Linked DNA regions of Macaca fascicularis. The protein of the gene in region 1 interacts with the protein of each later gene in a biochemical or structural test. Links are inferred from orthologs where the notes say so. Each region holds a gene or a part of one and is shown in the gene's direction. Other genes may lie near its edges.

Evidence for each region.
Region 2: of the proteins of LRRK2 (region 1) and ARHGEF7, one has a biochemical effect on the other in vitro, tested with the Homo sapiens proteins (2 studies listed by BioGRID and IntAct). The link is inferred for Macaca fascicularis from reciprocal best matches to the Homo sapiens genes LRRK2 and ARHGEF7.

What each region holds. Positions count from the first base shown.
Region 1 is NC_088385.1:46,779,649-46,783,300, forward strand, and holds part of LRRK2 (leucine-rich repeat serine/threonine-protein kinase 2), read left to right. Parts: intron 1-709; coding exon 710-960; intron 961-1,483; coding exon 1,484-1,632; intron 1,633-3,652. UniProt on the Homo sapiens protein: Serine/threonine-protein kinase which phosphorylates a broad range of proteins involved in multiple processes such as neuronal plasticity, innate immunity, autophagy, and vesicle trafficking.
Region 2 is NC_088391.1:101,803,412-101,807,063, forward strand, and holds part of ARHGEF7 (rho guanine nucleotide exchange factor 7), read left to right. Parts: intron 1-34; coding exon 35-174; intron 175-2,594; coding exon 2,595-2,819; intron 2,820-3,448; exon of another isoform or gene 3,449-3,571; intron 3,572-3,652. UniProt on the Homo sapiens protein: Acts as a RAC1 guanine nucleotide exchange factor (GEF) and can induce membrane ruffling. Functions in cell migration, attachment and cell spreading. Promotes targeting of RAC1 to focal adhesions. May function as a positive regulator of apoptosis.

The sequences.
Region 1 (3,652 bases):
TCATTAATAAGCCTCTATAATCATATCAAAGTCTAGAATTTCTTGTGTGGATAAATATACTGATATATAAAGAAGAACATAGAGAAGTGATTGTTTTTGGCAGTTGAGCTCTTTAAGAGTATTACATAACAAAGTTGTAAAAAGTCGATGTAATATGTAAGTAGGGGTTTGCTGTTATCATTGTAAAATTATAAACTGCTTAAAAATGGAAAGTAGAAATTTGAAACAAAAAGTTTCATAAAAAAGAGGAGGTTCTAAAATGAAACACATATTGTATGTAACTATTTTTATGGTTAAATCTTATATATATCAAAATATGTAACAATTTCTGACAGCATTTAAAACATATTCCCAGGATTATGTTGTGCTTTTTCTTAAATCATTAATTCAAATATTTGTTGAGGCCTATTCTGCTTCCATTTTGCTCTTTCTGGAAATAATTTACAAAAAAGCTGAAGGAAGCTTTCAACTCTATTTTCATGAACCTGCTTTTTACAGTCTACCGTTGTAATTTTGCTGGTTTTACCCATGCTATAAGCAGAGGTGATTGGGCTAATCAGTATACTGAAATTCTGTTGTGGATTGTGTTTTCAACTTTTTGAAAATTCTTGATGGTTCTAGTTACCAGAGGTGTGTAAGGCAGAAATATTAGCTAGACTTAAGTTCCTCAGATGGTCCACTTTAGAATTTTAAACTCTTGTCTTTTCAGACTCTGAAGAGTTTGACGCATTTGGACTTGCACAGTAATAAATTTACATCATTTCCTTCTTACTTGTTGAAAATGAGTTGTGTTGCTAACCTTGATGTCTCTCGAAATGACATTGGACCCTCAGTGGTTTTAGATCCTGCAGTGAAATGTCCAACTCTGAAACAGTTTAACCTGTCATATAACCAGCTGTCTTCTGTTCCTGAGAACCTTGCTGATGTGATAGAGAAACTGGAGCAGCTCATTTTAGAAGGGTAAGAAAGAGCTCATTAAAAGTAAAAGGACTGCCTAAATATGCTGATGTTAACAAAATACGCTGACATTTGTGTAGTCATGAGTTTTGACAACATGGTGAAACTCCATCTCTACTAAAAATACAAAAATTATCCGGGGTTGGTGGTGCGCGCCTGTAATCCCACCTACTCAGAGGCTGAGGCATGAGAATCGCTTGAACCCAAGAGGCGGAGGTCGCAGTGAGCCGAGATCGCGCCATTGCACTCCAGCCTGGGTGACAGAGGCGAGACTCTGTCTCAAAAAAAAAATATATATATATAATATATATTTATTATAATGTATAAGTATTATTATATATAATAAAAAACTGAGACAATGAATATTACAACTTTTATCAATGACTTACATTTTCACAACTAATTTTTAAATTAATGAGTCCTCTTCGATGCTATTCTTCGAAAGCAAATTGTTCTTGGTATTTTTTCTTTAAAGCATATGAATGAATTTACGCAGTTTAATCATTATCTTGTCTCTTGTGACTAGAAATAAAATATCAGGGATATGCTCCCCCTTGAGACTGAAGGAACTGAAGATTTTAAACCTTAGTAAAAACCACATTTCATCCCTATCAGAGAACTTTCTTGAGGCTTGTCCTAAAGTGGAGAGTTTCAGTGCCAGAATGAATTTTCTTGGTAAGTGTTCTGTGTGGGTCTCCTCCTTACCAGGCCCTCTAAGTTGTACAAGATGAGTCACATATGGACCCTTTAGGTGGGGATTGAAAGGTGGCATTTCAGTTTAAATATTATGCTGGATTTAAAAAATAAAGTTAGCAGGTTGGCAATAAAAGAAAATGCTATCAAACTATGAAAATAAATGAAAGAAATGTAAATGCATATTGCTAAGTGAAAGAAGGCAATCTGAAAAGGCTACATACTATTCGTTCCCAACTATAAGACATTCTGGAAGAGACACAATTATGAGGACATTAAAAAGATCAATGGTTGTCAGGGGTTAGGGGAGGGAGAGATGAATAGGTAAAGCACAGAGGATTTTTAGGGCAGTGAAACTGTTTTGTATACTACAGTGGGGGATACGTGCCATTGTACACTTGTCAAAACCCATAGAATGTACAGTACAAAGAATGAACCCTGATGTAAACTATGGACTTTGAGTGATAATGAAGTGTCAAATATTGGCTCATCGATTGGAACAACTGTGCCAAACTAATGCAAATTGTTAATAACAGGGGAAAATATATGTGGGGTAGTGGTGGTGAGAGAAGGGATATATTGAAAGTCTTTGGACTGTCTGCTCAATTTTTCTGTGTATCTAAAGCTGCTCTAAAAATAGTCTATAATTTAAACAAAGTTATCACATTTTTATTGTCAGAGGTTAAAATGATAGTTACTTGGCCTACTGTGTAGTGCACTGTGGTTCCTTTTAGTCTTCAACTAAACATGACTGCCTGAGCTGGGTAAGGCATCCTTATACTGAAATACTGTTTTTCATACTGAAGTTTCTTCAGCAATTTTTTGTATGATAAATATGATTACTCTTATTGCTGTTGTTAGAAACAAAATTAATCATTTAATAGTTTTCAATTTAGTGAAGTTAATATATATTCAATCAGCCCTTGTGCTTTGCAAGACATTACAATAATGCAAATTATTATCATCACTTTTATTAAAAGTTGTAGAATCCCCTGCATTCTCTTAGCTTATGAAATAATAGAGGAAATTATGTTCATTTGTATCCTAAATGAACATTTTAATATTAAGGAACAAAATACTTTTATGATAATAAACAGGAATTCCCCATATTTTATCTTCCTTCATAGAGAATACTCACTTCTTGCCACCCATGTGATTATTCTATACCTGACTCAGTAAAATAATTTTTAATTCTATTTAATAGCAGAATATGGCTTGACTGCTTATTAATGGTATTTTAATTTGTCAGAGCTTTCAGAAACTAATAATGATCAAAGCCATCTTAATTTGGATAGTATTTTCCTCATTTATCCCTCCCTCCCTTCCTCCTACTCTCATGAATATTGGCCACATTCTAACTATGATCCTGAAACTGGAGATAGAGTGATTCACTCACTCACTAGTAAGCAAAGCAAACTTGGTCTCTGTCCTTAAGGAACTTGTGATTAAGTTCAGAGGACAGACAAACATTAAGTAATGATGGCACAAATAAATGTAATTTTATATTGTGGTACCTTCTGTGGAAAAGTTTCAGGATGCTCTGTGGTACCTCAGGGGAATCTGATTCAGACTGTGGAGTCAGGGAAGCCTTTCTGTTCCTGTGACATTTAAGTTGGGTCTGGAAAGAGGAGCATCCAAAATGACCCTGAAGCTTGTGTATGGTCAGTGTGTCATCTCAGCTGAATCTCACAATGATCCTAATGGTCGTCGTACCTAGGACAGGTATGACCTCTGCCCAGTTGAGGAAATTGAAGCAGCGAGATTTTTTTGTGTGATGTTTACAGGTGCATGTAATTAATTATCTTGTGAAAGTTTGAATGGGCCCCAGTTCAAAATCTGTTTGCTTTGCACTACACAAGCTTAATAGTTTGAAAAGTGGTCTTACATTTGAGAAGATGCCCCACGGAGGTGACATCTGAGCAAGACCACTAACCATTAAAAAATAATCCCATGTAAATGGTGAAACCTTGTCTCTACTAAAAACACAAAAATTTTTAGTTTT
Region 2 (3,652 bases), on another chromosome or scaffold:
TCCACTCGGCCTATTTTTTCCTTCTCTCCTCTAGGGAGCATGATCGAGCGGATATTAGTGTCATGCAACAACCAGCAGGATCTGCAGGAATGGGTGGACCACCTACAGAAGCAAACGAAGGTCACATCTGTGGGAAACCCCACCATAAAGCCTCATTCGGTGCCGTCTCATACCGTAAGGACCTGGCGCTTCTTCTCCTTCCAGACTCCAGGCGTGGCATCCCGTGGCTGAGCTGTCAGCAAGTGATCACGTGCTTTAAAACCTGATCAATATTGGGATAAAAATGCAAACGCTTGCTTGATATTTCTCTGAAAATATTTGGCCCTCTTTGTGCAGTAGTGAATTGTTTTCCAATGAGTGTTCTCGAGAAACAACCCTGAATTGTGCCTCCTCACGCACAATTCAGAGGTGCTTGGGTGGGAAGCTGCTTTTGCTCAGCGTGGCCTTAGAAGACTAATTTAGGGGAGTTTTACACTAAACTATAGATGATTTTTCTGAGAATTTTAACTGTTTATTATGCTTCATTTAAGAAAACGAAAATAAATGATTATGATGATGAAAAGGGCCAGATTCATGTTGAAGGCATTAAAATAGAGTTTATGACACACTGTTGATTTTAAGAAATTGAGGTGTCTTTTACTTAGAAAAGCTCAGCAACTCTTTGAATTTTTAGAGAATTACAACTTTTCAAAATAGATGAACACTGAATTCGGTTGCAGTGTTTAAACCTCTCCTGGTGTTTTTTGCTCAAGAAGTTGGTATCGGGTTGTTTTAACAGTCGTCATCTTTATCAAGTAATACCGAAAAACTGGGCAGAGCTTTTAAAGAATGAGTGGCGATGACACGGCATTTTCAGCTTGCAGATTCCCTCACATCCTTACTAGGTTATTAGGATCAGTTCTGTCGTGTGCTCAGTTTTCATGTTTTCTTCTTCATGGGAAGGTTGTAGATCAAGAAGGATTGCTGTATTCTGATATTCTCATCAGTTTCAGAGTCCATCTGATTTCTCTCAGCAGTGTGCAGATAACTACTCATTGGCTTTTAGCTAGCATTTCATCTTTAATGGCTCTGCCGTTTTAAAATTCTCCATTCTTTCGTGGAGATCAGTTTATCCCAGCGACATGTGTACACGTGTGTTTATAAAGAACAGTGGATGAGCTGCTTCACTCAGATTTTCAACAGCAGCCTGAAACTCTACTTCATACAATTTTACATCAAGTCAGCTTTTCTCTGCGGCCAGACCCTCCGTCTTAGTGTTTCTTTCACTGGTGGCGGGGAAGGCACTGTGCCTCATGTTTAAAATGTTCTGCGTTCTCCTACAGAGTTTCTTTTGTGGGATGATGTATTCTCCTGTGATCTAACTCTGTCCAACTGAAGTCATATTCTAATTTTAGCATAAAGCATACTTCCTTTGACTTTCTCAAGAAAGGAGAAACAAAACCAGACACTACTTAACTCTGACGTTGTTGCTAGGAGGGATGTCTTACATAATTTTCTCCATCTATACATTATTTCCTATGAAAAGATGACGTTACGGTGGCTTCATAGCATGACCTGTATCTCACACGATTCCCTCCCCCATGCAGGGACTAGAATGTGATCATTGCAGAAAGTTGATGGCGTCTGTTCTTGAAATTGTGGCATTAGCTGCTGTGGGGCCTTCCCTCTCAGCCTGTTTTGAAGGTCGTGTACTTCAGAATGCCGACCCCACTCAGGTTTCCAGTTCACAGCGCCACACAGCTTGTTCTCCCATTAAACGCGCCTTACTATTGTTGGCTAATTTGAAGTCATTGTTGGCTGATTTTGAGACTTACTTAACTTTTCTCATTTAACTGTCATTGTGATGGGATATTTCGGGTTTCCCAGGAATATAAAATTCATTAATGACATACCTCCTCTAAGAAGTTAATTTTCAATTAACTTTGTTTTGATTAAAGTTGAGTTTTCTAAGAAAATAACTGATTTTATACCAGGGTTTGGCAGTGTTCTAGAAAGAGCCAGATGGTAAACATTCTCTGCTTTACAGGCTCAGGCCTCTTGCAGCTGTACTCTGCCCTTGTAACACAGCAGCAGCTTTAGACAGGCACGGGCCTGCTTGTGTGCCAGGAAAACTTTTTTAAAAAACAAAACTAGGCGATTGGGCCTTAGTTTCACCCAGTACTTCATCACCAGGTGAAGAATAATACGTGACCGGGGGGAATCACCTTCCTTCTTACAGCCACATGCCCTGTGTGCTTTTGTGAAATTCTCATCTTTTTACTAGATAAAGTACCTTTTTTTCTGTTAATGTTACTCCGTAGCTAATAAATGTGGCTAGTGGATGTCCGAGTGCTGGGGCGCCAGCTAGAGCTGCCCCTCCCGTCTGGGGCAGACACCGTGGGGGGGTCCCATGCTCAGCCCAGGTGGCGCGAGCTGGTGCTTGGCCCCAAAAACTACTGAGAGCCAGAGATTCGAACGAAATGATAAATGATAAATCCTGGGGTTTATTTCACATGGAGTGTTTAAAGAGCGGAAGGAAGTGCGTGATAGTGCCCTTTCACGGTGAGCATGCAAGTCTCACGTTCTCTGCCCTTCCCGCTCTGTGCCCTCGGCAGCTGCCCTCCCACCCGGTCACTCCGTCCAGCAAGCACGCAGACAGCAAGCCCGCGCCGCTGACGCCCGCCTACCACACGCTCCCCCACCCCTCCCACCACGGCACCCCGCACACCACCATCAACTGGGGACCCCTGGAGCCTCCGAAAACACCCAAGCCCTGGAGCCTGAGCTGCCTGCGGCCCGCGCCTCCCCTCCGGCCCTCCGCTGCCCTCTGCTACAAGGAGGTGAGGTCCCTTGACCACTCAAACAGCCAGACGCCGGTGAGCATGCCTTGGGCCCCGAGTGTGCCGGGCTGGTCCCTCTGTACGCAGCAAAATGCACCCTAACTGCTAGAGAACTGAGAAGGGGTCTGCCTTGGTTCTTCGGTTATCTCCGCTGCTGCTGAGAGGCCTGTGGTAACCCTGTGTGGGAAGGGGATGTGCAGATGTGCAGGGCCCCTCCTGTCTGTGCCATGCAGAGGGGGCCTTTACTGTGCTTGCCGGAGGAATGTGCCGCCGGGGGCCAGGAGCTGGAAAGGCGCCGAGCCCAGGTGACTTTCCCTCCCCGTGTGTGAGGCCGTCGCTCGGCGTCTGCATGCTGTCTGCTGCGTCTAACAACCCCTCCTCTAGGTCGGGGATCCTATCCAGGAGCCCTGCGTTTTGTCATCCAGAAGCCATTTGAAAGGAAGAGAACGTTTACCAATACAAATGAAAAAACACTTAGGCAGTTTCCCCCTTTGATGCATAAGAAATCATGATACAGTCTTTGCTTGTCTGTGTTTTGATCCAGCATTTTTGTATTTGCTAGGTGCAAATAAAGTACGATTCTAATGAATAAATATAAGTATTAACACTTTCTTATACTTTCCCCTAAGCCAGCTTGGATGAGGAAAGGAAGCGTCTTGAGAAATGTGTTCTGAGAAATATTTTCACCTGAGGAAGCCGATAATTGAGATGAGCGTTGTTTTCATAAGCAGTTGAGCGTGCATGGTGGTGAGGTACGAGGAGTGGCGGTGCGAGTATGGGTGGCTGCGTGCAGATACGAGGAGCGGTGCCCGCTGGTGGGGTGTGAGTGGGCG